Linked DNA regions of Styela clava. The protein of the gene in region 1 purifies or fractionates together with the protein of each later gene. This does not show direct contact. Links are inferred from orthologs where the notes say so. Each region holds a gene or a part of one and is shown on either strand. Other genes may lie near its edges. The genes, in order: protein AATF-like, neuroguidin-like and nucleolar protein 10-like.

Evidence for each region.
Region 2: the proteins of protein AATF-like (region 1) and neuroguidin-like purify together in Homo sapiens (affinity purification with mass spectrometry; 3 studies listed by BioGRID and IntAct, with this or other methods). This does not show direct contact. The link is inferred for Styela clava from reciprocal best matches to the Homo sapiens genes AATF and NGDN.
Region 3: the proteins of protein AATF-like (region 1) and nucleolar protein 10-like purify together in Homo sapiens (affinity purification with mass spectrometry; 4 studies listed by BioGRID and IntAct, counting the BioPlex papers as one, with this or other methods). This does not show direct contact. The link is inferred for Styela clava from reciprocal best matches to the Homo sapiens genes AATF and NOL10.

The regions. Positions count from the first base shown.
Region 1 is NC_135257.1:13,445,906-13,457,003, forward strand, and holds the start of protein AATF-like, read right to left. Parts: upstream 4,213-11,098; 5' UTR 4,159-4,212; coding exon 4,077-4,158; intron 3,008-4,076; coding exon 2,799-3,007; intron 2,235-2,798; coding exon 2,170-2,234; intron 2,075-2,169; coding exon 1,887-2,074; intron 1,257-1,886; coding exon 1,028-1,256; intron 635-1,027; coding exon 490-634; intron 388-489; coding exon 250-387; intron 1-249. Other genes in the region: protein Red-like, read right to left, coding at 4,832-6,418. UniProt on the Homo sapiens protein: Part of the small subunit (SSU) processome, first precursor of the small eukaryotic ribosomal subunit.
Region 2 is NC_135251.1:17,728,100-17,737,903, forward strand, and holds neuroguidin-like, read left to right. Parts: upstream 1-6,541; 5' UTR 6,542-6,703; coding exon 6,704-7,600; 3' UTR 7,601-7,602; downstream 7,603-9,804. Other genes in the region: 2Fe-2S ferredoxin-like, read left to right, coding at 8,556-9,152. UniProt on the Homo sapiens protein: Part of the small subunit (SSU) processome, first precursor of the small eukaryotic ribosomal subunit.
Region 3 is NC_135264.1:4,567,199-4,577,871, forward strand, and holds the start of nucleolar protein 10-like, read right to left. Parts: upstream 4,951-10,673; 5' UTR 4,880-4,950; coding exon 4,814-4,879; intron 4,503-4,813; coding exon 4,358-4,502; intron 3,227-4,357; coding exon 3,149-3,226; intron 3,078-3,148; coding exon 3,040-3,077; intron 2,093-3,039; coding exon 1,956-2,092; intron 1,672-1,955; coding exon 1,606-1,671; intron 599-1,605; coding exon 452-598; intron 1-451.

The DNA.
Region 1 (11,098 bases):
GGTAGAAATTCAATAAGACAGCATATCCATGTTGCGAACCAAAAAAGATTAATGCCCAATCACCAGTCCAGATCAGCTTTGGAAATAGCTGAGTTACCCGTAATTATTCGAGATTGATGGATACGGATGCTGAAGGAGTCAAGACGTAACCAGCTTAGGAATCCTTTCACACATAACTCCTTATACCAACATCTCAAACCAAATTCTGGACCAAAAATTTAACATACTAAACCACAATATTTCACAGACCTCTAGTTTATTAGACTGAGTCGTTCCCAGTATACGATAGTTCGTTCTTTTCAATTGTGTCCGCTTGATTAATCTTTCACGGTCTTGTAATATATCTTCTATCTGAGAAACTGTCGACCGTTCAAAATTTGAGAATGACTGAAATATAAAGAGTCATAATTGTTATGAAAGAGGTAAAGTAAAACATTATGATATTCTTAACTCTACAAATATGACGAATACTGATTTACGTATGTATACCTTTGATTTTGATGTCGCTGTTAATCTTGTTTTATCATACCACAACTTCAGTACTTTATTCCTATGAGTTTTATATGAAGTAAATCTGTCTTGGATCATATCATTCACCTCTTCCATCGACGTTGTACTTTTCCGCTTGTTATTACTATGCATAAAAAATAACAATAAATTTAGAGATGACTACCCACAACATTTCTATTGATGTGTGTCAGTCAATGGGAACATTACACAAGATATATCTCTTCAATGTGCACTGTGATTTTGTAGTGTCATTCAAGTCCCAAGCATTATAAAATAAATAGAGCAATATGATCGCATAATGTTACTGCTGCAACAGCAGATCCAGACGATTAAAATTTCAATATACCAGTGCAAAAACTTCAGATTTTGATGACGATAAACTTGGAGATACTTCAATAAAATTCATTATTTAATACTATTGAAAAAAACTAACAATTTCACATACTAAAGCTAACGTATCACTGAGATTTAGGTACCATGAATGTATTCAATTTAGGGTTTTTGACAATAAACATACCTGATTTTAGAATCTGCTATTGACTGAGTTTCAGGATTTTGAGTGAGAAGTCTCCTTTCTAATTCTAACAATTTGTATAAAAGATTAGACAAAATTTTATCCGCAGATGAAAGAGAAGCTGGTAATTCAGTTTTAAATAGTTCCATCTTATCATATTGAGGTAATCTGTTAGATATTGTAAGTATCTTCTGAAATTTGATTCGAGCTTCAAGCATATTTTCCCACAAACCTAAAAAATATAAAAAAAATTCTCAAAAAAACAAATTGAATTTATTCGCAAAGTCAAATAGTCAATATCTGTCTGTTCACATCTATCATTTGTTTATGTTTATCCTCGACAAAGAGCATCGATAACTTTGAACTAACAGTAAAAAGTGTGCTCTTATACAAAATGTGAGGTAAGCAAACAGAAAAGTTATGGCCCTACTACATTGTGCAGCAAATGAAATTTTAGCGAATATACCGTAGATAAGTATTGTACAATACATTCAGGTATCGTTTTCGTTATATGACGTCTTTCACTTTAAACAAAGCTCTATACAAGTCTCTATTACACCAATATGTAAACAGCTGCTTTTTTCTTAAGGACCTCAATCATTCACCTTATTACACCCTGAGTGAGGTGGTGATCATAGGTTCGAACCATGGATCTTTAATGCCAATATAGTTGAGCCCAAAACTCTAGCCATCATAGGGCTTCGCTCTAATGATATAAGTATGACCAAACAATTACATAATCCAATCAATTTGTCATTCCCATCAAAAATATTGTCCAACATTAGATGAATATTAGAATTAACCAGATTGGCAGATAAAACTAACAAATTTTAATTAATAAAAGAAACGTAAGTAATCTCACAAAATTGATTTCTAGTAGCTCTCGATTTTAATAATGGATCAGCCTTTTTCCTATTTTGAAATATTTTTAAACTGTCATCGCCATCTCCATCGGCTTCATCAGAATCAATTTCTTCATCCATTCCATCATCTTCATCTAGCATAATGTCTCCAACTTCACTATTATAGCTAGTATCACCATTCATTTCTCTGCATTAGTAGTGAAAAACATATTCAAATCAAGAATTTGGATACAGGATGTCAATAGATATAGAAAACAACATAATAGAAGTAAAAGAATATACCTCTCAATATCTTCATCAGTTTGATCATCTCCACTGTCAATATTTTCATCTTCAGCATTCCCATTCTATAAATAAATTGCAATTATATAAAACACATTCTAAAAAAGACATTTTTCATCACCCAAACTTGACAAATGATAAACTTTTGTCCTAGCACATGAATAAATACAGCCAACCTACACTACCAAACTATATTATCAACAATGACACGAGGATAACGATAAAATCAGGTAGAGATACTAATAAATAAATAAATGCTTTTTTAGACATAGTGAAGTTCAAGAAATGCAAAATTTTTTCCTTATACTCGGACAGGATCGAAACAGAGGATGAAAAACAATTATAGCGCAATTTTTATCCTAATTCTTGCTGTGGCTGCACACTTGCACAGACTATCTCGTCTATGATATGCACTAACTGGAAAATATTTTCAGTCAAAAACACCTCGACAGCAAAGATATTTGATATTCTCATAAAGACTAAAAACGATATTTGGAGGTCATGATATTCGAATTACAAAAGAATTCTACTATCGTACATGATTTTTCTCACTATTCTTGACGATACAGAATAAAACGGAAATGTAATCTAAATACCTTAATGCACTTCATGATAGCAACAATATTTACCTCCAGTTCAATGTTATCTTCATTGCCAGACTCACTTCCATCACCATCTGATGTTTGATTCCTTGATACAACTTTACCCCTATATAGCTCTCCCATGCCTTCGAGCGACTGCATTTTTCTTCGGCCAATTCCAGGAACATGTTGAATAACTGTTCCATCTTCAGCATCACTATTCAAATCATCTTTCTCTACAACTTTAGCTCTGGTTTCTAAACAAAAATTCTACCATGTAAAAATACAACAATTTTCATTAGGTATAGATAGTCGTAATATATCGTTTTACTTAGTTCGTCACTTCAATCATGGAGTAACATTTCGGTCAGATATGCTAAACCCATAAAGTACAGTCATTTCAAAACTGGGTAGCACATACAGTTATTAGTTTCTGGCATTACTGCATTATATAAAGTAGAAATGCAAATATCAAACAAAACAGATGATCTATATATATTTTAATTCAAGAAATTCAAGAACAAGGAGTCTATGATCAAGGATACAATTTTTCTAAACCAAAAAAATCTTCAAAACAAAATTGAAAGCCTTTTAGGGAGAAGTTTCAATCTCCGAATAATTGAAATGTGACAGTGATTCAGTAGTTGAAGAGAAAACAATTCAATTTATACCAACCACAATATTCACAAACAATGTTTGAGTAATAATAATAATACTGGGTCACTGGTTACAGCAGGGGTGCACAACCTTTTCTCGTTTGACGGGGGCATTACATTTTTGTAAAGCTGACTTTTTCAACGAGTGGCGTCATCGCGATCAGGTTTCGAACAATAACTTCTTTACATAAACGCCAAAAAAATCTAATTTCATCTGGAATTAAAGAACCGTTTCTCTGTTAACGATATCCCGCTTTAGAGATATGAAAGAATATTCAGAGCTGTTACTTTTTTATAATACTGATAATTTATTTCCATTACAGACACAAGTAATGATATGATTTTTCGTAACACTCAAGCGCCAACATAAAACATAAATTATTTTTCAGTAACACACCAGCACAGCTGCACATTTTACCTGCGAAAGCCGCATGCGGCCGTACGGCTGCAGGTTGTGCCCCCCTGGGTTATAGCGTTCAGTCAAAGAATATTATGAGTATGTAGGTACCCAGCAACTCAGTAGCAAGCCAAAAAACACCCCTAAATGGTCAGGTCTATTTAAGTCTTTAGGTGCCATAGCACAACCACAACTGTAGAAGTGCATCACAGTTTTAGCAAAAAAATGTGCATAAAGTGAACAGTAATGCATTGAGTGTTATATCACAAGTACCTTCATAAATATCATCTTCTGGGTCAATGCTCTTCACACTCGGATCGAAAAGCCTAGCAAGTTGTTCAGCTAAAGATGTCATGATGACATTTAAAATTGTTATGTATACTTTAAACTTGATTTTGTACTTGGTTTTCTAAATAAAAAAAGCAAACATTCAATAAACTGATAAAGGTCGATACCCTTCGATTGACATTATTAACAAACATTTATGAATGCCCAATGTAAAATTTCAGATAGTGGCAGTCTCCATGCATTTTAATGAATTTTAGGAGAAAAGAACAAAAACTCTTGAGAAAAGTGGGTATGTAAGTACTTTATTGGATTTTATCGTCACAATCATTAATTCAACAACTTTTTATTGTAACATTCAGAAAATTCAAACCTAAATATCAGAATTATGAGATCAGTTACAGAAGAGCATCCATTTGAACTACAGTACCAGTTTGTGGCAAAGATGTGACTAAATGATACAAACCACAATCATAATCAAATATAAGAAACTCCATTCAAAGGCAAAAATTCCAAAATATGCACTCATTAAAATAATACGGTTACGACAAATTACACATTCTATACTTGTCTATCCATTTATATATACACAAATCAATTTACAAAATAATGATATGAGAATATCACTTTTAACAAACAGACATTCAACATGATGAAAACATTGGCAAATACAGTAATTCTCACAAGTTCAACCTTGAATTTTTTTATGATCAAAGTAATGCTTATAACTTGATAATATATAGTTAATATTTCTTATAATTCGAATCTCCACCCTTTCGCTTTTCAATAATTTGATTGATTTGCATCAGTTCGCGATTCAATTTTTGTTTTTCATTCTGCTCCTTGGTTCGTCTTGTTTTTCGACCTCCTGTCATTTTTATTCCATACTGGAAGGCAGCTTTAGGCATTGCTTCTTTCTGAGACATGTAATTACTATATTCTTCTTGAGTATCAAAGTCCCATCTTCCAACTGGACCTTTCTTACTACCTTGATCCATTTTACTGTAATCTGCTTCATCATCACTATCGTCTCCTACGCCTGATAAATTGTATTGCGCTGATGGATAGCATTCCATGTAACTGTCAGATGCCCCCGCTGTGCCAATGAGTGGATTGCCTTTGCCAGACTCTTTCTTTTGCTTTTTAGTTTCTTTGGTTTGGTCTGGTTGTGACGACCCTGCATATTTTTCATTGACATTTTTTACAAAATTTTTCACTGAAGCAGCAACAGCTTGTTTTGATTCAACCATTTCTTCTTCCATTTTAGGTTTCTCAAAATAAGAATGAGCATTTTTTGCAGGCTTGCTTCTGTTCTTTTTTAGAGTAGGAACATATTCACCAATATCATCAAATATGCCCATGTCTGCTTCAATGGGTCTTTTATGTGGCCTATCATTTTCAGTCTTTATCTTTCTATCTTTCTTCTTTCTATGCTTTTCGCGAGCACCTTGACGTAAATATGACAATATCTGAGTCAGTTTATTAATAACAATATCGTTAGTTGATAATGTTGTTTGAGACTCGAGTGTTGGGCAGTCTGCTTTACTACGAAGCAGAGTAGTGGGAATATCTGTGTCTGCAAACTCATCATCGACTTGAAAAACGTACGCCATTCGTCCCGGCAAAAACAATTCATTTCTTAGTTTCATTTGAGGCTGGAAGACAAGTCTGTGTATGTTTTTTGCCATTTTTGTTTTGAACGTAACCACTTCTTTCTGTTGCTGCTGTTGTTCTTCTTTCGTGTTTTCTATGTCTTCAGATAAAACTTTATCAAGTTCTTCGTCCTCTCGTTCTTTTGTCGATATCTCAGCTCGAACCTTTTGTAAAAGAGCGAAATCGAGACCTTTTACCAAGTGAGTATGAGCCATGTCACCTCCAAGATATTTTGATTCTTGGATGACTTGTCTTCTTTTCTCAGCGGAAGTTCGGTCCGCTTCAGCACTTGGGCCAACGGTTTTGTAATTAGCAGTTGTATTGATAAGATCAGATTCAGCATAATCTCCTTTACCTTCTCTCCTCTCTTTTGCTCGATCTCTATATTTCTTTTGAAGTTCAGCCTGCCTTTCCATTTCTTGCTTTTTAAGTTTTGCATACAAACTTTTCTTTTTTCTTCTTTTTTCAGCAGCCGATTCATGATCTTCTGAATCAAATTCTGATTGGGACGCTGAGACTCGTTTTGCTCGATCATCGTGAGTTTTTTCACCACCAGCTTTAGGGGTCGTCAAAAATTTTCGAAAGTCTGCATTGGTTAGAGGTTGTTCATTAACATTGCCATCAGTCTCATGATAATGCTCAGGGGGCAGAGGATTAGAAAATTCTTCATTTGCCATAATGCTTTATTGATAAAATTAGTTCAACAGTATTTATAAAATATAAAAAAAAAAATGAATGGCTGAGTATTGAACTGTCACTGACATAACGGCGCGGCGTTGTGGCTCAACGGGCTAAGCGTTAGGAATACGCTCGCCACCGCACCTCTAATTACTCTGCGTGGGTTCGCAGGTTCGAATCCCATGCAGGGATGGTTATGTGCGAGAGGATTGCTGGACTTCTCGCCGTCGTTGGGTGGTTCACGTAACCGCTGGTCGGTTACGGCTTCCTCCACCACCAAGTCCATGCTTCCGAAAACAAACAATATAACTAATCCCATACCATACCCGACTTGGAATGGTAACCGGACGAGAGGCCGTGGTTCGCCATATGAATAAGCCTTCTTATCGGCTTTCCTCTCCCCCGGGATAAATAGGTAAATTCTATCCTATCCTATAACTGAAAGAGATTCCAGTTTAAATGAAGATGGATGGCTTAAACTTGTATATGCCGATTTCCACGCTTTGTCGCGTAATGCAATGGTGGTGAAATAGTATCGACACTTTGATTGTTCATTATCTTCTGTGCGAGCGTGCGCCCTTATTGTTGCGACACATTTGCATGGTCGCAAGATTGGCACTATCGCCATCCCCTTGCAATGCTTCTAATTTACGGATTCATTTGTATTAAGTCAAGGAAGTCACATAAATACAAATAGTCAGATAATAAATAAGTTAAATAAAGTCGTGCACTTTGTTACAAATTACAACACCCAATAAATTGTCTCATGTCTTAAAAAACGAGTTGATTTATTGGAAAAAATCCTTTAAACATTTTCACACTTTTGGCAAATACCGTATTTTGATAATGATAGTCAAAAGTATCGACTTTTTATTATGATGATTTTCCGTTGCGACAAAATATTCAAATTCATGAACAATAACAGCATTTAAAATGCCTTGTCGTATTAATTTAATTTTGTTTAATAATTAACCTAACTCGTGGTTGCGTCAACTAACGAAAAAATAAAAGTATTACCGACAATCTGCAGCATTGAATGGTGTGGTGCACTGGCCAATTATAATTAATTTTTTAAACCTATTACAGTACTTACGAAAAACAAATATTGATACAACTCCAAAATACCACGGCAATCTGTGGACATAAAATGTGTGGTTGACTGCCCGATTAGAATTAACTTTGATTTATTAATTCGTACTCACGGAAAAATAATAATTTTGATAATGATAGTTGAAAGTATGGACTTTTAACTAAGATGATTATATGTTGCAAAATATTCAAATCCATGACCGACAACAGCATTTAAAATGACTTATTGTTATTGTATTAATTTAATTGTTTTTAACGTAACACATAGTTTTGCAGACTCGCGAATAAATTAATGCATTACTACTCTAAGATACGGCGACCATCTGTGAACATAAAATGTGTGGTAACTGCTTGATTATAATTACAAAATACAAAAGCATTACAACTTTAAAATAACGCGGTATCTGTAGAAATATAATGTGTGGTAAAATGCTGGATTATAATTAATTTTTGATTCACACTTTCGTACTCACAAAAAAATAATTTATACCTTTACCCACTTTCGGCAAATAGTTTTGATAATGATTGTTAAAAGTATGGAATTATCGGTTGTGCAAAGTATTTACCGTAAATCCATGACTGATAACAGCATTTAAAATGCCTTCGTATTAATTTACTTTTGTTCGATGTAGCCTAACTCATCAATGCCTCGTCTTACGAAGAATAAAATGTTTCAAAATACCACAGCAATCAAAAACACAAAACTAATGGTAAACTGCCCTATTATAATTAATTTTGATTCGCACTCTCGTACTTACGAAAATAAAAAGGGCATACTACTATAAAATATCACGGCAATCGGCGGATATAAATTTTCTGGTAGCCAGCTTGTAGGTAACGGTAATTCCATTGTTTATTGTATGCTAATTCCGCCATAAAGATAAGCTTGCATTTATTTTCGAAGTATTCGAAACTTAAATAATAATTTTGAATGTATTCGAAATAGTAAATTATTCGGTATTGGCCATCCCTGATGCCGTTTGAAATTTGCTCAATTAGTTTCACAATGTTTATGATATGACAGCACAAAATGAATATCCATGAATGTGGAGAAGGGGCAACATTTTTTAATTATGACCGACTGCACTCCTATGGCCTGAAGTAACATCATTGAATCAAATGTCTCAATGTTAAATGGCGGATAAACAGTTCACCAATCTGCCAATAGGATATCTGTATAACTCAAAATAAATAACGCCATTTCAGCATTTGGTTAATAATTTCTGAATTTAGTTTAAATCAGAAATAGAGTTTGCTATTGGGGCATCATCGAATAGATAGGTTAGATTTTACGAGAAAAAGTTTAGGAATATCAAATATGTCCTGAAGTCACCTCAGGATTGACACGTGAAAAAATTGTTATGCTACGCCTACTAGAAGTACGTTAGGTAGGAAAGTAGGGTGGCTTACCCACTTTGCGACCATCAACTTCATCGATTAAATTAATGCCGAAAAAATTAACGAACCGCGACGATATTTCTCACACGTTATCGTCCACTTATCCCTCGTAGCTCTGCGAAAAGACACTAAAATGCGGCCACAAATAAAAAAGTTACGACCGAAAACCTGACCGAAGAAAAAAAACGGACCATTTTACCATGTCGCCAACTACCCATTGTTCCCTCAAAAAAGCTTGAAAATCCATACAAATATAAGAGATAAAGAGATGAAACTTGGCAGGTGGGTAGAGTTGTGTTTCTTTCAACCATCTTTAAAGTTTCGCGTTTCTACCTTCAAAGGAGGGGGAGTAGGGGGGTGCGCATTTCCAATACGTCAATAATATCTTTGTCAACTAATTTGCGACCACCGTGTTTTTGTCTGTTTGATTGTTGTGATGCGGTGCTTTGTTTATAATTTGAAGAATTTTGTTTGAAATAACCGTGTTCTTAAAATATATAACGGTCAGAAATGCAATTAGAAGCCCATTTTTTCACGCATGGCTGCGTATGCCCCAGTCTCGACACAGCAGAAACGATGTTCAAGGCTTGAAATCCGTGATCGCACACTGGTCGTTCGGTCGCAAATACGTCTTCAGAGTGTCGTACTTTGGTGGTTTGTATAGCTTTAACCCCTGGTCGTAGAAAGTTAATTCGAAGTTCAGCGTGTAGAATAAATGCCAATGCACTTACGGTGAAAAAATTAACGGGTTAGAAATATTGGTTTTTGTTTTATAGCGGTTTGAATGAAATCGTCCGCAGATTGGCTACACCACCCTACATGAGACCCTAATTTTTCTAGTAACACTAAGTGTAAATAATGACTTACAATAACTTACTGTATTCAGATATTAGTATGTACCATAGCCCAGTAGTCTCATATTACTGTACCGGTATTACAGTATTAACTGCTGCTGTTGCCAGACTGCAGTATTGTGATCACAACATGCAGATATGCATACCATACACCTCTGTGAAGCTAGCAGCAAAACACGAAATTGTGACTGACAGAATCGCAGAAAATACCCACGCGTAAAATTAAATGTTCCCAATGATTTTTATAAGAAAGTGTATATTTTGATTATTTTCACAATAGCAATTAAAGCAAAACAATCATTAACTACACTCCTCGTATTGTTAATATATGGTAAACAAGCTAAAGCGACTGTTACAGTGCACAAAATTTTTTTATAATTCTTTGAGAGATGTTTAAAAATGACTGAATTTTCGTCGTGTAACATGGTCGTTTCATGAAAACCTCCAATAAAGGCAGCATTGCAACACCATTGGTGAAAAGTAGAAACCTCAAAGATTCGATTTCAATATGTCAGAACAGTCTCAGCACGTTTTGACTTGACCATATATAATACTAAACATAGCGTATATTCTTCAATTTTTAAAACAATGTATATATAACAAATTTGAAACTGATTTTGTATTTCAATTAAAATTACTGGATAGTTCATCAAAGAAGATATTTTTCTCTTTGTCACACAACAATAATGCACTTCATTAAACTTAGAATAAGTTGAGTAAAGTCTGAAATACTGAAAAAAAATTTACGCCCTCTTGTGGATTCTTTGATAAATTTCACAAAGTTATCGTTTTCGAAAGGGCAATTTCTCAAAAACCGCCAATAAAGGCAGCACTACGACACATTCGAAGAAAAGCAGATACCCTATAGATTCGATTTTAATATGTCAGAACAGTAGCAGCACGTTTTGACTTGGCCAAATATAATTCCAAACATAGCGTATATTTTTAATTTCATTGAAAAAATGTAGATGTGACATATTTAAAAACGGTTTGGTATTTCAACTAAATTTACTGGAAAATTCATCAAATACTTTCTTCTCTTGGGTATACAACAAAACTGTACGTTTATTAAACTTGGAATTAGTGTGCAAATGTTAAAATGCCAAAAAATGATTTGACGCCCTCTTGTGGATCCTTTTCGGAATTTCGAAAAATTATCGTTTTTGAAAAGGGCGATTTCTCAAAAACCGCCAATAAAGGCAGCACTACGACACATTCGGAGTAAAGCAGATACCTAATAGATTTGATTTTATTATGTCAGAACAGTAGCAGCACGTTTTGACTTGGCCATATATAATACCAAACATAGCGTGTATTCAAACTTTTATAAACAATGCA
Region 2 (9,804 bases), on another chromosome or scaffold:
TTAGCACACTCAACCATTATCAATATTTCACGGTAATAGTGTTCCACGTCAAATTTTGATTATAAATTGATCCTATGGTTTGTTCCTCAAAAAATTTAAGATTCATATTACATAGTATTTCATCTAAAATATATTAAAAAATAAAAAAATTTTACCGTCGGGAAAGACTTTAAAATTAAAGTCAAAATTAGCACACTCGACCGTTATCAATATTTCACGGTAATGGTGTTCTACGTCAAATTTCAATTGTAAATTGGAAATGATCCTATGGTTTGTTCCTCAAAAAATTGAATAGTCATATTACATTGTAATTCATCTCAAAAATATTAGAAAATAAAAAAATTCTACCGTCGGGAAAGAATTTAAAATTAAAGTCAAAATTAGCACACTCAACCGTTATCAACATTCGCGGTAAAGGTGTTCCACGTCAAATTTTAATTGTAAATTGAAAATGATCCTATGGTTTGTTCCTCAAAAAATTTGATAGTCATATTACATAGTATTTCATTTAAAATATATTGAAAAATAAAAAAATTTTACCGTCGGGAAAGACTTTAAAATTAAAGTCAAAATTAGCATACTCGACCGTTATCAATATTTCACGGTAATGGTGTTCTAAGTCAAATTTTAATTGTGAATTGAAAATGATTTTATGGTTTGTTCCTCAAAAAATTTAATATTCATATTACATAGTATTTCATCTAAAAAATATTGAAAAATAAAAAAATTCTACCGTCGGGAAAGCCTTTCAAATTAAAGTCAAAATTAGCACACCCAACCATTATCAATATTTCGCGTTAATAGTGTTCCACGTTAAATTTTAATTGTAAATTGAAAATGATCCTATGGTTTGTTCCTTGTTGCATTTTGTCATAAAATACCATTATCGGGAATTGTGATTATCGTTAGACATAGGTAGATTCCGGTTTTATTTTAAAGTCTTTCCCCCCGGTAGAATTTTTTCAATATTTGATATTTGTAAGATAATTCATTATATAATATAATAAGCAAATTTGGTGATGTACAAACAAATAGAAAAGTTTCAATTCCTTGTTACATTTTGTCATAAAATACAATTATCGGGAAATATGATTATCGTTAGACATAGATAGATTCCGGTTTTATTTTAAAGTCTTTCCCCCCGGTAGAATTTTTTCAATATTTGATATTTGTAAGATAATTCATTATATAATATAATAAGCAAATTTGGTGATGTACAAACAAATAAAAAAGTTTCAATTCCTTGTTACATTTTGTCATAAAATACCATTATCGGGAAATATGATTATCGTTAGACATAGGTAGATTCCGGTATTATTTTGAAGTCTTTCCCCCCGGTAGAATTTTTTAATATTTGTAAGATAATTCACTATGTAAGATAATAAGCAATTTTCGTGATGTACAAATTGATAGAAAAGTTTCAATTCCTTGTTGCATTTTGTCATAAAATACCATTATCGGGAATTATGATTATCGTTAGACATAGGTAGATTCCGGTTTTATTTTAAAGTCTTTCCCCCCGGTAGAATTTTTTTATTTTTCAGTATTTATAAGATGAGTTACTATTGTATATAATAGGCAAATTTCGTGATGTACAAATTAATAGAAAAGATTCAATTCCTTGTTGCATTTTGTAATAAAATACCATTGTCGGGAAATAGAATTATCGTTGGACATAAGTAGATTTCGGTTTTATTTGAAAGTCTTTCCCCCCGGTAGAATTTTTTTATTTTTCAGTATTTATAAGATGAGTTACTATTTTATATAATAGGCAAATTTCGTGATGTACAAATTGATAGAAAAGATTCAATTCCTTGTTGCATTTTGTAATAAAATACCATTGTCGGGAAATAGAATTATCGTTGGACATAAGTAGATTTCGGTTTTATTTGAAAGTCTTTCCCCCCGGTAGAATTTTTTTATTTTTCAGTATTTATAAGATTATTCACTATTTCATATAATAGGCAAATTTCGTGATGTACAAATTGATAGAAAAGTTTCAATTCCTTGTTGCATTTTGTCATAAAATACCATTATCGGGAATTGTGATTATCGTTAGACATAGGTAGATTCCGGTTTTATTTTAAAGTCTTTCCCCCCGCTATAATTTTTTCAATATTTGATATTTGTAAGATAATTCATTATATAATATAATAAGCAAATTTGGTGATGTACAAACAAATAGAAAAGTTTCAATTCCTTGTTACATTTTGTCATAAAATACAATTATCGGGAAATATGATTATCGTTAGACATAGATAGATTCCGGTTTTATTTTAAAGTCTTTCTCCCCGGTAGAATTTTTTTATTTTTCAATATGTGAAAGATAATTCACTATATAATATAGTAAGCAAATTTCGTGATGTACAAACAAATAGAAAAGTTTCAATTCCTTGTTGCATTTTGTCATAAAATACCATAATCGGGAAATATGATTATCGTTAGACATAGGTAGATTCCGGTTTTATTTTAAAGTCTTTCCCCCCGGTAGAATTTTTTCAATATTCGATATTTGTAAGATAATTCATTATATAATATAATAAGCAAATTTCGTGATGTACAAACAAATAGAAAAATTTCAATTTCTTGTTGCATTTTGTCATAAATTACTATTATCGGGAATTATGATTATCGTCAGATATAGGTAGATTCCGGTTTTATTTTAAAGTCTTTCCCCCAGGTAATTTTTTTTTATTTTTTAGTATTTGTAAGATAATTCACTATATAATATATTAAACAAATTAATAGAAAAGTTTCAATTCTCTGTTGCATTTTGTCATAGAATACCATTGTCGGGAAATAGAATTATCTTTATACATAGGTACATTCTTTTTTTATTTTAAAGTCTTTCCCCCCGGTAGAATTTTTAAATTTTTCGTTATTTGTTGGATAATTGGATATATAATGTAATAAGTCGATTTCATGGCGTACAAAGTATTAGAAGTGCCGAAATCAGACTTCAAAGCCATCAAGACAATGTAACTCTTTGGGTAAATGTTACTTAATTTGCTTTTGAATTTGCTTGTTCAATCTTTATTTTAAAAGATGTATTTGTGCAAATCAGATTCGATTTGTTCATATCTCATTCTTATTGATGGAAATGAATAGGTTTGGTATTTCGCTTAGATATAATTTTTTTTTTGTTGTGAAACCTTCCTGTGAATTCATGCTTGTCCACCTATATATCTGGCAACAGTGATTAGAGATATCATTGTTCAGCTGATTTTGATTTATTTTCCCGGCAATTGTGGCTATTTTGTGCCATCAATTGCCGGACTTTGAGAGGTTCTGGCGCTGAGTTAAACATGGATATATGTAATTTAGTAATCTGTGAACGTTTAGGATGCCTTAACTTACGGTGAAACATTGTCAGAACGTCAGCCCACACTCGTGTGACGCTAGCCCACACTCGTAGGATGCCAGCCCACACTCGTGTGACGTTAGCCCACACTCGTGTGACGCTGGCCCACACTCGTTTTTGTCAGGCCATGCGAGGGGTACCGGTAACTGGGCCTTGCTTGGTATTGTATTTGCGTTGTGTATATCAGATATGGTCTCTATATTGTCAGAGTCACCAAGTTTTTATGTAATTACGTTTATAAAGTCAGTAAAATAGTTGGTTAACCCCTTGACGTCAGGCTGAGTGTGGGCTGAGCGAGTGTGGGCTGGGGTAACTTTGGTCCCACACTCACTCCAGCATTCGCTGACTCGCGTCTCGTGTGACCCAAAGTCTGAAAGTGACTACCGGTACGGTATACGTATACGGTATACCGGTAGTCACTTTGGTGTGACGGCGACGCTAGCCCACACTCGTTTTTGTTAGACTATACTCGGTTATAACTCGTCTGTGCTTGGTATTGAACATGCCTGGGATAGTTTCGGCTCGCGTGCCAAAATCAGATAAATTTAAGGACAAAATTCTTCCGCGTGCCGACCAAAATTAAAAACATACCGGTACCGGTACCTTTGCTACTTTCAAAGCAAACATACAAAATAATAAACCTTTTAAACATGTACAGACAGGTTCACTATTTGGGAAAATATCAGTCTGACAAATAGACTTGATTACTTTTTTTATTCAATATCAGTGAGACCTTTGCTGCTGCATTAACGCTGATAGATATTTTATATTGGGTTTGTATTTTCTAACTTTAAAATAAATACACGGACTATCGGTACTGGTTTCATCTTACAGGTTACTCCTATTACGAGACTTATGAAGTTCATAACTGAGAACAGAGATTAACAAGCATAATTATGTAGATGAAAATATGTAGAATTGTAGAGTAATGCAGTTGCAAAGTTTTTAAGGCCCCGTAAATTTTCGGGAACGGCATCCCAATCATGCAAGCAATAGTTCGTTTTGTGCATTTCTCTCTTGTTACCTTCCCTAATCGCTTATATTTCTTTTGAAATCATTTTAGAACAGTAAGTTAGCAAGTGACTATAACCAACGTGGGCTGTTCCATTTTTAAATCAAGCAGAAATGACAAAAAATGGTGGCACAGATGGTCTATATTATGTAAGAGTGTAGCCAAATGAATGCTGAGTGAATGCCAAATGAATTCTCGACCAAATTTCGCAAGAGCTCCATCATTTGTTACGTCACAATTTATTCTTTGTAGCCATATGTCATGAAAGGACAAAAAGAGTTTAAATAAATACCGGATTGTTAACATTCGAAAATGAACAAACGAACACCTATTTTCATCAGATAATTCATAGTCTTAAAACTTTTTATCTAAAGGAGAATGATCTCGTTTCCGAGGCCTCGCTCGCGTGCCGAATAAATGGGCTCGTGTGCCAATCTTGGCACGCGTGCCAGGGGTTTCCCACCCCTGGTCTATATCATCTATGGTCTGATGGTCTATATAGTCTATTATCGGAGCAACCAAGTTTTCATGGAATAACGTTTATAACGGTATAAAGTGAGTAAAATAGTTTGGTTAACCAGTTGACCGCAGCCAGTCTGGATTTCATGGCCTTTTTGAATGAGAAATCGGGCGTGCAGTCAGAAATTCCCGCGTGCAAATAGGAATTCCTGGCATGCAATTATAGCTCACGGTGTGCAAAACAACTGCGCCCGTTTGCAACTGACTTCGACATTAGATACCTCTCAATACATCCGCGTAAACTTACCGGTATTGGATAAAAATACGTTGAATCATTGCAAAAATGGACATCTGACCTTTGACCCCCAAACATTATTTCTACAGTTTGTCGCTAGTTTTGAGAGTGTTTGTGCGACTTTGGATACCGGTACTGCTCAGTACATCCGCGTAAAACTATTGGATAAAAAATACGTTGAATCAGAGCAAAATGGACATACTTTGTCAAAAATTTTGGGAGTGTATTTACGTAGAATTAATGGTTAAAAAATAGGTTAAAAAATTGACCAAGTTTGTCAAATTTGAAAATGAATTTCACTATGTTGTGTATTAATACCAATTGCTACCACTTCATTAAATGCAATTATTTTGACCTACAACCCCAAGGCCAATCAGAGTTAGGTCAGCATTTTTTGATGTATCACTGTCGTCAAATTTAGTATTAAAAAACATTATAGGATGCAAAAGGATAAATATTATAATTATCAACTATTAGAAATTTTTATATGTGTAAATATAATTAGATGGTTATCAGCCAGAGCCACTCGAATTTTCGTATAGAAATCCGCTGTACACAATGAATATGCTTGATCAGGAACTAAAAAGTTTTTAGAAATAAAAAATTCTGCTGAAACAGAGCTGTAACTGGCCAGCGTCGGTGAGGAGGCGATCTTTTCGCCTATAACTATTCTCACGGGATTCCTATCATTCAACACGATATGGTCTTTTTTGGTTCGCATTTCTCGATCAGGCCTAATCTTGCAAGCTAGTATTAGTCGACAATTGTGGAGTTATAATTTTTTGATATCTTCATATTACTGGATTATTGATTTAAAGACCATTTAAACCGATTTACATTTGTGAGCAATTGCAAATTTTCGGCGTGCAAAATGGAATTAGCTCGCGTGCATATTTGTGGAGCGCTAGCGCCCCCGGGCGTGCACCTGCCATGGAATCCAGTCTGGGACCGCAGGATGAATGTGGACTGGGGTGACTTCTGGTGCTCTGATGTGATAATGGTCGCATTCACCCTCATTCACTTATTGCTCATTTGCTCATTCACTCATTGCCACCCGTTTTTTAACCACTATCTTATTGCATTTACATCAAAATTAATTCTACATTTCTAACTGATAACGTAAAACACTTAAAGCGCTTTGCGCAGCTTTCTGCAAAATTGCAGATTAAAAAAGCCCTCATGACTCCAACTGTCAGCCTCTAGGTTGGTCGATACAAAAATACTCTGCTGAAATATGTTAGGTAGATCTGTAGATGCATCTGACTGTGATCTTGGGGTTATGTAGATTTTTCGTAAAAGTATTAATTGTCCTATAGAATTTAATTTATATTATGAAAAAACCTCTTACGCTAACAAAATTACTCATAGCTTGCGATTTGGTATGTGGTACCGTATATTTTTTAATCCTTAAAGTCTACTGACTGCTGGACCGATTGATACTTTTCTAACTTCATATTTTCATGGTTTTAAAGCAATGCTATTTTTGAAAATATCCTATAGGCACGATAATACTGTAATAATATATAAATAAAAATCTTGCATGGGCATAGACTAACGTACAACTTCTCCCGCAATCATGGATAATATAGACAAACTCTCTAGTGAGCTAATAGCCAAGGATGTACCAGCATTGGAGGATCTACTTAAAATGTTATCAACAGAAGCCCAATCAATGACAGAATTCGTGGATACTTTGTTACAAAGACTTGATGAAAATGAGTTGCCAACTGAGGGAGGAGTATCATTACTAGATGTAAAATATCATTCATTATTGAGTTATATCATAGATCTCGTATTTGTCACAAAAATGAAGATTCAGGGAGAAAATATTGCAGACTGTCATGCGAAAAATCGCTTGGTTGAAAACAGGACTGTGCTTGAAAAGTTAAATCCATTAGAACACAAAATTAAATACCAAATTGACAAACTGCTTCAGCAATCGACCCAAAATTTATTGAATGATCCACTGTCATTGAAACCTAATATTGATAATTTAGAAAGCAAAATTGATAACGATGAAAGTGGTAATTCAGATGATGAACAAGAACCTAAGAAATATGTTCCTCCACGAATTGCAGCTTCACATTATGATGTAGAAGATGGAAAAAGCGAGCAAGAAGACCGTCGATCAAGAGAGCGTGCTCTCAAGCGGTCTTCCATCATCATGGATCTCGCACAAGAAACTTCAGATGCTCCTTTTGAAATATCAGAGTATTCAGCAGGGAGAAAGCGGGTTCAAAAAGAAAGAGCAGAAAGAACAACTTATGAAGAAGCAAATCTCATCAGGATTAATCTAACAAAGAAACAAAAGAACGCTGAAAGACAGCTAATGAGACGGTCAGAGCTTGACACAATCACAAAGTTTGGCGATATTGGTGTTCTTGAGGGACGTCAGATAAAAAATAATAACAATAAAAGGAAAAGTACTGGAAAATATAATGGATCAAAAAAATGGAAAAAATTTAGAAAGTAAATTTAGGATTATGACAAAAATGAATTTAGATGATAATTCTTGGGTGGCATATTTTCCAATTTTAATAATACCAGCGAAAAAACTCAGATATACAGTGAGCGGTCTTTTTCATCATTATTTCTTACAGGGTTTCTGTCTTGTAGCATTCAATGTTCTGAATTTAATTTGAAAATAGGAAAAATCATATTCGAAACATTGCTTCATGATGTTGATTTGTCATTTCCAGGTTTTTAGTTATAGTCTTAGAGACTTAGAATTCATAGAAAGTTTGTTATTTGGAATTATCGTGCCAACCTTGTGTCTGTTAATAATCAATTGTTCAATAAAACTTAAATGAAGAATGCCCAGAAACCTGCACTGCAGATTTTTAAATTATGACCTAAACTTTTCAACTGATGTTTATTTTAAAGCAGTGGTTCTCAAACTGTGAGGCACCCCACAAGGAGTGCATAGACAATTTTTTGAGGGGGCGTGAAGCTAAATAAAAATTAAAATATTTGTTAGATCTTGTCCACCTTATTTTGGGTATTTGATTTCTTCATTTTGGATATTTCCGTATGTTCACGTATTTTCAACATGTTTTTTGAATAAAACATATTTTCGCCTTACTATCTGTCAATTGTAACTTATTGTTACCGGTAGTTATTTTTGAGGTGGGGTGCGAGACTTGATGAATTCTAATAAGAGGACCAGCTTAAAAAGCTTGAGAACCACTGTTTTAAAGCATCATTGGAGAAATTCTTTTTGTTTAAATTGAATTCCACTTACAATATACAAATTTATTCGAATCTACTTTAGATTCAATTCCTGTCTTGTGTTTTTGACTCACCACTTCAATATCGATATTTCCACAATCATGAATGTTATCAAATTATTTTTTTTTTTCGTTTAGTGGTTTTGCTATTTCACTAATTAATTTGTAATGTATGTGAGTTTTTATCTAAAGTAACACCAAATGCTTGGATTACGAACAACAGCACGGGCCTTGCGGTCATGGTGTAACAGGACTTTAACGAATTCAAGTGCAATGAAATCAGATTCAAAAACAATGTACTTTAGCAAAAAACTATCTTTTTCGAATATTAATAAATCCTGCCGTTCTCAATCTAACTTAAACTTTTGTGGAACAAATGAAAGAGATTATTCATCAACTGCAACTCAAGAACATGAAGGAGGAAGAGAAGAATCATCTCCAGAAACTGTTCAAATCACATATATAGACCGTGAAGGTGAAACCCATGTCATTGATGGTAAAGTTGGTGACAATGTCATGTATTTAGCCCAGAGGCATGATTTGGAGGTTGAAGGGGCATGTGAGGCATCGCTGGCATGTTGCACATGCCATGTTTATGTCAAGGATAAGTATTATGATATGTTGGAAGAACCAACAGAGGAAGAAGAGGACATGTTAGACCTTGCACCATTTCTTCAGGAAAATTCTAGACTTTCATGCCAAATAATACTTTCTAAAGAAATAAATGGAATTGAAGTTCAATTGCCATCAGCCACACGGAATTTTTATGTTGATGGTCATAAACCAAAGCCTCATTGATATTGAATTATTTGAATACCATTAAACCGGAGTAGGAGTATATAAATTCAAGCATATATTTTAAAATTCTAGAAATCGCAAAAGTTCTCATAGCACATAATAATTCAAGTCACCATGAAATGAAAGTTGGCTATCTAAGAAGCATTTAATCATGTTTCACTGTTTTATATTTTCAACGGACTGATCTTCATTACAACGGGTCGCGATGGCCTAGCCCTAGTGGTTAAAGCATTGGACTTTAGCATAATCTAATCATAAAAGGTTGAAAATCACGGGTTCAAATGTCATACTTACTCACCCAGTGCATAATAAATTGAGTAGGAAATTAATGGCTTGTACAGAGCCTTGTTCGTGATGGAAGGATATATATAATGTTGAATAAAAAAAAATATTAGATTGATCCATTTTAGTTAGTGCCTTTCTGTATTTATGGCCATATTAATGGCCTTCATTTGGTATATTATTTGCTATTGGGCGTAAAAATCGAGTTTGATGGTTTTGATGACTAACTAAGGGCTGGAGAATATAATCATGTTGGGTTTTTGAATTATTTGGGTGGGTATTCAATACTGCGAGTAATTACCTTATTGGTGTAAAATCCACCCAATTATTTTTAATCATATTGTATATTGAATAATATGCATGATAATTT
Region 3 (10,673 bases), on another chromosome or scaffold:
TGTTGAGAATAATGATAAATTAAATCCCTTTGTGGGCAAAACCAAATGCATAAGGCATAAAAAGATGTTAAAAAAAATTAATATGCAATTTTCAAATTAAACAAGTTCAAATTGTTAGATAGAAGCGTCTTCCATTGCCATGTTCCAATTTGATCAATTTAATATCATTGCTTGAACAGGAACCTCCATGTATATATATTTATACATTTCTTTCTCATGTTTCTCTCAGTAAATTAACAGAAATTAAATTTAGTATTGTAGAATAGTTCAGACAAGAATTGTTTTATTTGATTTTCTATTTTTACACTGTCACTGTGTAGTTGACCCTATATTTTCATTCATGTATATAATACAAAATATACCATTGTCACCTATATTTACATAGGTTTAGGATGGCCAATTTTTATCCAATCCAATAATTATAGCCGTAGGGACTATTTTACATGATTACCTTTTGTTTTCTTCAGCAGCAGACATTGCGCAATCAAGAATACCAACTCTTTGTCGTGATCTGGGATCCCAGCATTCAATTTTCCCATCAGATGTACCAACGGCAAGTAAATGATGGTGATCATTTATATCACATACATTGAGCTCACTGAAATGTAAAGAATTATATTTTTCTACACTTTGGCATTGCAATACAGATACTAATTGTGTAAGACGTAACTCACTAGAGCTCAAATTATGTTATGATTCTTGAATTTGAATCATATGAAAGAGTATTAAGTTGAAGGAATATACATGCAGGATGGTTCATGCATCTGCTTGTAAGGTACTGTTTGCTCAATACAATGATATCTCTGTAGTCGAAAGACTCAACACTTGAACAATGCGGTAGTCGACCAAAAAATTTGAGTCGAGAATGCTGCGTTACTCGAATGGACAATTCGAAGCTCAAACACCTGAGCCGAGCAAGGTGAGGTGACGCCCCCGAACCGCGCATTTCAGCAGTCTCTTGGCCATTCAACGAGCATCATTTTAAGTAAAAACGTTAGCGGGATGACACAATCAAGAAATTTTTATTATATAGTGCTTTTTGCCATTGATCATGGCTCCAAAGAAAAGTAGTGATAAAGGGAAGGAGAAGAGGAAACAGTGAGAACAACTATCGAGTTGAAAGTAAAGCCTTACTTACAGTATGGTATGGCAAAGTCTACCATTTCCACATTATTGAAAAATGAGGAATGACAGAGAAAAATAATGTTGTGCAGGGAGTGACAGCAATTAATAAGCAAATCCTCAAATAATTGAGGAAATGGAAAATGGCTGCTCATCTTTATCATACTCAGTGATATTTAGGTACACGTTTTATTAATATTTTAGGCATTTTGGAATGCGCAAGACCGATCAAAAAAATTAACATCGTTTCTTATGGCAAAAAAGTTCAAAGATTATGGCAAAACTCGAACACCAATCCCGAACGAATTATGTTCAACTACGGAGGTATCACAGTATGTATATCCATGTATCTCGATCATAAATTCATAACAAATATTTTTGTACGACAATAGACGAATGTGTAATATTTACTAATTTGCAGGGCTGCATCATTTTATTTTTTCTTGTAAAATTTGTAAATTAAATGGATTTTTCACAACTTACAGAGCATTCGTCTTGAATGATTGATAATATCTTCCAAGATCCAAATTAAGTCTGTAAATTTCAGGTCTGAAAAAAAATGTATTTATTAAACGACAACTAAATGAGTAGAGAAGCGATATTCATATTTTTTTTCATCCACATCTTCTCCAAACAAGGCACTAGACCAGTACTTTTGCTTCAAATTGTTCTCAAAGGTAGAGATATGACACAAACACAATATAAAATTTATATCCGATAACGAAGAAATTTATTGTCAACGAGGATATATTTACAAAAATGCCTAATTATGAATGTATCCCATTTATTCTCAACTTATTACCAAACAAATTTTAATTTAACATTTAACCTACCCTGTGCCAACTAAATACAAATCGCAATTTCCAGGATAATATTTCATGTGCCGGCCAAACTTTGGCATTCTTACTCTGTACCACCTTCCTTCTTGTGAGTGGAATTCCACATAACGGTCATTCAATAACATAACAATCTAAATTTAAAAACAATTTTAATCAAAATGGTATGATAAAGCTAATAGTTTAGATACTTTACTAAATAGCCTAATAGATTCTGATCAAAGAAATTCGTAATTTGAAAACTCTAAGACAAAACTAATTAAAAAGGATGATATTTTCGTTGCAGTAAGATTTCTTAGAATACAATAATTCATATGAATTGTGTTGGTCCTGGTGATTTTTTTTATTTGATATAAGTTTGCATAAAGTACTGACATGAACAAATATATCACGTATATATCAAGTAAATCTTAGTTGAATTTGACTCGAAGCTCAAAAGTTCTCCAAGTCACAGTGAAACCCAGAAGACAGATTCCCACAATTATCACGGCAGAAAATGTGGTGTGTAGTTTAATATAGCATAAAGTTAGTAATGTAGTTGGTATTTCTCCAATCTGTGAGACAATTTTTTCGCCCATACATCATTCTAAGTTTCTTTGTAACACCCCACTGTTATCATAGTTATCAGTTCTATTTGCGAGTTTCCATTTACGGTATATTACCAATTGGATATAAATCAAAGAACAGAAGAATAATAAAGCTTATAACAAAATCGCTCAATTCTTGAAAAACCACTTATAGTCGGATAAAAATTTTATCGCATGTCAATTTAATGAGCAAAGTTATATTCATATCAAATACCAATAGGCCATATGAATCAATATGCTTGGTACAGGCATGAGCACATCTACCCATGTCCTATATGTGCCGTTAGGATCAACTTTCATCTCTCAAAAATTATCAAAACCATATGCAAATGTATATAAATTTGAATGACAATTAAATTTGGATACATATTATGCTTCATAATGCCAGTTGCTTGTTAATCAATCGAAGACAATTTCTTTAATTCTATAAAAGTATATTCGAATAAAAAGTTAAAGCGGTATTTAAAAAAAAAATGACAAAATAACTTACTTACTTTCGAGTAATCTTCTGACAAAACCTCAAATGAAACAACTGAAAAAAAAATTCGATAAATCAGAAAAATACTTTCATATAGACGGAGAGAAATATTATTTAAAAATTACCTTCAGCATCAAGGCATCTTTCAAATTTCAGGGAAAGTTGATTTACATCAAAGCAACGAATCCTTGGCTTGTAGGTTCCTTGAAAGCAAAAGGAGGTTTTGTTTGTTTCATTAAAATATCAGTATATCACAGACAGACTTACAGACAGACAGACAGACATACAGAATTTTTGTAAATTCGAAGTCGCAATTATAGATAGATGGAACTTAGACCAGCGGTTCTCAACCTTATTCTTTTATGGCCCACTTTCATTGCACAAAAATCATGTGACCATTACCTTTCTCACGCAAGGGAAAAACTAAAAGAAAAAAATCTTTTCGCAATGATGGACACCTCCACTTTATTAATTAAAATTTAAATTACCACCCAGTGCCAAAAAGCATAATTCATTGCTAAAGCAATCGAAGATTGACTAATTTATCAATAACTGAAAATTTTTAAAAGGTTTGTGGCCCGCCTGGAAAAGTTTCTGTGGCCCAGAAGTGGGCCATGTCCCACTGGTTGAGAACTGGTGTCTTAAATCCAATATCAACTGAATTGAAAGCAACTTCCGGTGCTTATTAACTGTTCATGTTACTAATCAGATTAATATATAAAAGCAAGCTGAGAACTCGACAGCTTTTTAATATATTTTCTAATATTATATTATACTTCAAAAAGGCATCTTCAAACCAGGATGGAATTTTATTGTTTTTGGAGAGAAAATTTTATACAATCTATTTTATTTTTTCGGGGGGAAATTTACATATACCGGTAGTCGTAGTCCTAATTATATTTTCCCTTATAATTCACCATAGTACTGCCTGCTTATTTATACACAGATATACTATTCAAAATGTATGAAAGCTAGAGTGTGGGTCGCTCCGTCATTGTATATGAAATAAAAACTGGAAACAAGAAGTAGACTATGCATAGTGAGGAGGGAATGAAAAGTTAATTAAGGAAGGAAAGTCGAACAAAAGGTTTGGAACCACTGATTTAGTTAGATTTACATTTTCCATTACTTTTCCAAATAATATTAGCTTTACAGTAGCCAATGGTCCGTGCCAAATTAAATATTTCAGATATTTATCAACAAAATCACTTGATTAGTAATTTCCTTTTTATAGAATTTCATCTTTTTCTTGGCTTTCTAAGCTATTATATACAGTAGATTTTGTAAATATGTTTGGAAACATAACGTTCTACTAGGAAAACAGAATTTCTCACCTGCAACAAAGACATAATTTCCATCTCTTGTCATTTGCACTGATGTACAGACAGTTGGCATCGTAAAATCTTGAATGAGTTCGATTCTTCTACGTAAACTGACATCTTTTTTGAGAAGAGCTCGCTTTTTTTGTTGAGAAAGAAACTAAGTGAAGACAGAATCGGGAAGATGATTATTAATTAATAATACCAACATGTAGATTAGGACACAAAAGAAAACCTGATCCAATAAGTTGTTGTAAATCTTGAACTGCTCCCAATCGAAGCAATTTTACTACAAGCAATTTTACACAGCTGTGTGTACTGCAATACTTGCATCTCTAATTTGTTAATTTATATAAAATGACCAATGTTTGAACACATCCACTAAAAAAATTAAACATTCTATATACAAGACAATAAATCTTGTGTCAATTCATTAATAAAACCAATATCAAAGTTGAATGGTGCACTTACTTGTGGAAGTGAATTTCCGCTGCTCAAATTATATATCTTGATACTGTTTGGGCTAGTCACCTGCATGCCACAGCTTTTGTTTTGTATTACCTTGTCAGAATTTCAAAGAACTTGGAAACTAAGAATATAAATCTTGAATCTGTAAAATACACCAAAACACTAAAAACTTTTCTTGTTAAATTACTAGCCATAGTTCAATTAGTCTGTAGATATGGGATTGGGGGCGGCAAGAAAGGTACCAGTAGGTACTTATAGAAATCAAATATATCTTTCATAAGACTTGTATAACATAAAAATGATTGCCATTACAAACTGGGCATTGATCTCAAAATGGAGGACAAGTCAAGTCAAGTTGAGTAAAGAATGCAGTGCATAACCAAAGCTCACATTGACAAAAAGAACTGATTTGTATAAATTAGCAATATTGTAATAACTCCCAATGAACCTTCATCGTGTATTGCAGTATTTGCCAATGCGAGGAATTACTGTATTAGAAAACAATGACATATAACAAATTGCATTTTACTGGGAAATGTGAAAATTATCATTGAATCTCAAATCAAATCTCACTGTCAGTTTTTCAAGTCTATGTCTCAGTAGAGTCGCTCTATTACAATGAGATAAGTAGTAGGCTAGTAGTAGTAGTAGTATTTTATTTCGTCAACAATGACAAATAGTATACATACAACATTTCAAAATTATTTTCAAGGCATAAGTGACTATGAGTTCTAACACAGAAACAATGTCCAGTAGACTGGTAGAGCAAAACCAGGTAACCAATACTGCAGTTCAAATATCTATAATATGTTACAGTGTTGTGTACAACAGAAATAAGAGCTGAAGTACCAGAGCAGGACCTGGATATCAGGATGTTTTATGATGTAACTGCAGTTACACACTTCCGGTCTACAATGACAGGATGAGAATGAAAGTACTGCAGTAGGGGACAGTTCTCTGATTTCAAGATGTCCCGACATTTGTTTCGATAAAACAAACATTCTATTTGTCTCTGAAATGAGGGCATCTGGAACTATGGAAGATGCACCAGATCGCATCGTAAATCATTAAGACTGAATAAATCTTAACAAATGTGACCAAAATTGAGCGTTTTTGCTATAAACTCGGGAAAGCTAGAATAAAAAAATTTTTCTTCAATTGATTACCGGAAAATCGTATATGGCAGTACAACACACTATACAGATCAAGCAGCATTGTCTCGTTTCAGAGAAACCCATTTTACTGATGATCAGACACCCCTTCTTTGGGAGAGGTCTGGACAGGACATTGTTGTCCCTCAATATCGGTACAAATACAGTATAATGAGGTTGCGCAAAATACAACAAAAAAGCGCAACCTAAAAATGTCATCATTGAATTCCTCGGGAAAAAATAATCCGATTTACCAAAGGAAAAAATTTTTACCGTGGCATTCGAGAGTTTTTAGAAAAAAAACGGCAATTTTGGTCGCGTGATGGCCACGGTCAATTTAGATTATTATTGAGACAAGCATGGCGCGATATGACTCATCTGCCGTCGTGCCAGATACTCCTCGTTTGTGAGACACATGAGTGCTTGTTTATTGAACCAAATAGAGGGAAATTCTTGGAATTTGGATAGCGTGCCGTACTGGAAGGGGTCTATTACGTCACTGTGACATAATTTTTGAATGGCGTGGTCAGGTGGGGGTTGGGATTGACAGGTGAACATTTTTTTTCCAAGCCCACTAGAAGTACGTTAGGTACAAAACAATCGTACATGAGACCCGTGCCGTGCCCTCAGCCCCACTACTGCACTAGAATAGGATTTACATGTTTATCCCGGGGAAGAGAAAAGCCGATAAAACGGCTTAATCATATGGCGAATCACGGCCTCTCGTCCGGTTACCAGTCCAGGTCAGCGGTCAGGTACGGTATGGGATTAGTTAGCCAGTTATTTGTTTTCAGGAGCATGGACTTGATGGTGGAGGAAGCCGTAACTGACCAGCGGTTACCTGAACCACTCTACGGCGGCGAGGAGTCCAGCAATCCTCTCGCACATGATCATCCCTGCATGGGATTCGAACCTGCGATCCCACGAAGGGTAATCAGAGATGCGGTGGCGAGCGTACCGGTACCGGTATCCCCAACGTTTACCAGGCTGTTGTAGTGCACCAGTTCTAAATAAGATTATACTCTGATGGTACCAATGCAATCATACCAAGATACTACTAGCATATAAATACAACCGACAGTACAGTATTAACGGTACAGTTACCGGTAACTTGTAGAGTCAGAGGGACAACACTAAAAGGCTGAAGGAAGAAACGGATGAAGTGGAGGGAAAACGGAAGTTGAAGTGTTCCCAAAGGTGAAAAATTAAAAAACACTAAAAGGCTGAACACTAAAAGGAAGAAGTGGATGAAATTTCTTCCGACGGGTAGTTAGGTGGCTGAAGTCACTAAAAAGCTGAACACTAAAAAGAAGAGGTGGATGAAATTTCTTCCGACGAATAATGAGGTGGTCGAAGTCACTAAAAAGCTGAACTCTAAAAGGAAGAAGTGGATGAAATTTTTTCCGACGAATAATGAGGTGGTCGAAGTCACTAAAAAGCTGAACTCTAAAAGGAAGAAGTGGATGAAATTTTTTCCGATGAATAATGAGGTGGTTGAAGTCACTAAAAAGCTGAACACTAAAAGGGAAGAAGTGGATGAAATTTCTTTCGACGAATAATGAGGTGGTTGAAGTCACTAAAAAGCTGAACACTAAAAGGAAGAAGTGGATGAAATTTCTTCCGACGAATAATGAGGTGGTTGAAGTCACTAAAAAGCTGAACACTAAAAAGAAGAAGTGAATGAAATTTTTTCCGACGAATAATAAGGTGATTGACGTCACTAAAAAGCTGAACACTAAAAGGAAGAAGTGGATGAAATTTTTTCCGACGAATAATGAGGTGGTCGAAGTCACTAAAAAGCTGAACACTAAAAGGAAGAAGTGAATGAAATTTCTTCCGACGAATAATGAGGTGGTTGAAGTCACTAAAAAGCTGAACACTAAAAGGAAGAAGTGGACGAAATTTCTTCCGACGAATAATGAGGTGGTTGAAGTCACTAAAAAGATGAACAGTAAAAGAAAGAAGTGAATGAAATTTCTTCCGGCGAATAATAAGGTGGTTAAAGTCACTAAAAAGAGGAACACTAAAAGGAAGAAGTGGATGAAATTTCTTCCGACGGATAGTGAGGAATACTTGAAAATTTAATATATTAGGAATTGGGTAATTTAATGTTTGTTCTGTTCGTATTTATAAGACAATGTCCTCGTGGATTCGTTTTTTGTTAATTTTTTTATATGTTATGCTCAGTTCGAGCCTGGCGAATTGAAGGCCATGACATTCTCGTTATATTCTTTTTAATTTTGATGTAATGTGCAAACAAATTAATATATATATATTTTCATATCTAGCTGTTCTAGATCAACAAACCTTGTAATTTATAATATGTTTGTGGCCCAACTCAAAATGCCTCTGAGGCTTACCAGTGGCCCATGGCCAGTGTTCCCTCTAAGGTGTGCGCGTGTGCGCGCGCACACAGCTTTCAGAGGCTGCGCACACGCATAGATTTACTGCTCACAGACGTATTTTGATGTAATGTAGCAATGTTCTCGGTTGGCAGGTTGAGAAAGTTTGTTGTTGGCCCACCCATTACCCAGTTAGAACGCCATAATTTCTTCATTGGTTTTTGCACAAATATTAGTCATTTCCAAAAAAGTGCGCACACACCAAAATTTCTGCGCACACATGCTACAAAAATTAAAGGGAACATTGCCCATGGCCCATTGGTTGAGAACCAGTGGTCTAACAGGACTTCGATTTGACTAATACATCATTATTCAAAGTCTTCGTGCGTGAACTGCTTGCAAAATTTATAAAAACAGATATTAAGTTCAAGGAATGAAATACGGAATCAAAAATAAATTATATTCGGGCACAATATCACGGCAATCTATGTACATAGATGTGTGGTCAACTGCGCGATTATTATTAATTTTTGATTCCTATTTTCGTATTTACAAAATACAACGGCGATCCATGGACTTAAAATGTGTGGTAAACTGCCCGATTATAATTAATTCTTGATACATATTTTCGTATTTATAAAATAATAAAAGATATATATGCGGACATTGAAGTGCCCGAATATAAAAAAAATCCATTCGTATTTACGTACTCACGAAAAAATTGTCGCAAGTCAGAAATATAATTTATACTTTATCCCGCTTTTTGCAAATAATTTGGATAATGGTTGGTATTTAAAAGTATGGACTTTTACTAGGATGATTTTGTGTTGCGCAAAATGTTCAAATCTATGACCGATAGCACTATTTTAAATGCTTGCCGTATTAATTTAATTCTGATAACGTAACTCATGGTATATAAAAATATATCGCAGTAATCTGCAAATATGAAATGCATGGTAATATAGTCATGTTGTAGATAACAGTTATTCCATTGTTTATTGTATGCAAATTCCTTCATATACTATAGATCAGTAGTCGGCAACCACCGGGCCGCGGCCCATCGCCGGTCCGCGGAAAGGTCACTACCGGTCCGCAGAAAGGTGACATGAAAACGTACAATGCCATTGTTATCTTCATGTGAGGTTGGGTTTTTAAAATGGCAATTACAAAAACGAAAGATCGAAGTGGGTTTAACGTAAGAAATACGTTACGTGAATAGTATCACCTTCGTTTTTGAATGTATTGTCAACATACATTTTCTAACGCATATTAATTATTAGATTAGTTCGTTTGTATAAAGGTGGTCCGCCAAAATTTTGGTCAGGCTTTACCGGTCCGTTACTGAAAAAAGGTTGCCGGCCACTGCTATAGATCATTGATTTTCAAACGGCGAGAGACCTCCGGGTGTTCCGCGGAAAATTGCTTTTTTGCAGTATTATGACGTCATAACTGATATTTAACCGTCCGATGGATTTATATAAATTTCACAAAGCGCGGTTCACAACCTCTTCCAATCTTGCTATCATTTTCTACTACCTATCTTTGCGAAATGAGTTTTTTAAGCATGGCCGGTCTAGGGCTGTGCAAAATATTCGAATAGCGAATACAATATTAAAATATTCGAATGCCATTTTACTATTCGTATGTACAATACCACATAATCTGTACCGCTTTGCTTGGGCACGGAATTCACGCCGGTAAATCGATCGCTTGGATTACGCGAGAATTCACCCTCGGCCTCCACTGTCATTTTGCAAAAAGCGTGCCGACACTAGTCCGTAAATGTAGAAACGTCAACCCAAATAAGATATCTAAAATAAAGTTACCAGCCTCCGCATGCATGACCCGAATACAAAATCATTTTCGGAAATTAAGAGTTACAAAGACGTTTTCGATACATGGTGAAAACGGCAATTTTAGGTCGTCAGAAAATTCGAGTTATATAATTGGTACTCCTGTAATATGCGAACCAAGACGTTGGACACCAGGACGTAGTATGTGTACCAGGTTAGGCCAAAATTTTGTTCAAATTTTCCTCATTTTAGTTCTATTACGAGTTCGGGGACTAGCCAGGTGACTCCTATAGTATTCGCACCTGAAGTTATGGCCTGACCCTAACTTGGTACACATACTACGTTCGTGTGTCCGCCATCTTGGTTCACATACCACGGGAGTACCATATAAATAGCATAGATTTGAAAATGGCGAGTCAGAGTTTTGAAAAGCCGGTATAAAAACTTATAACCAGATAAGAAATGACAGGCCATACTTTCTTTTAATGGACTTTCTAATAGCTCGGCGTGTATTTTTAGTGATCCATTTCATCCTTGACCAAATAATGTTTCAAAAATGTGAACATTATACTCGACC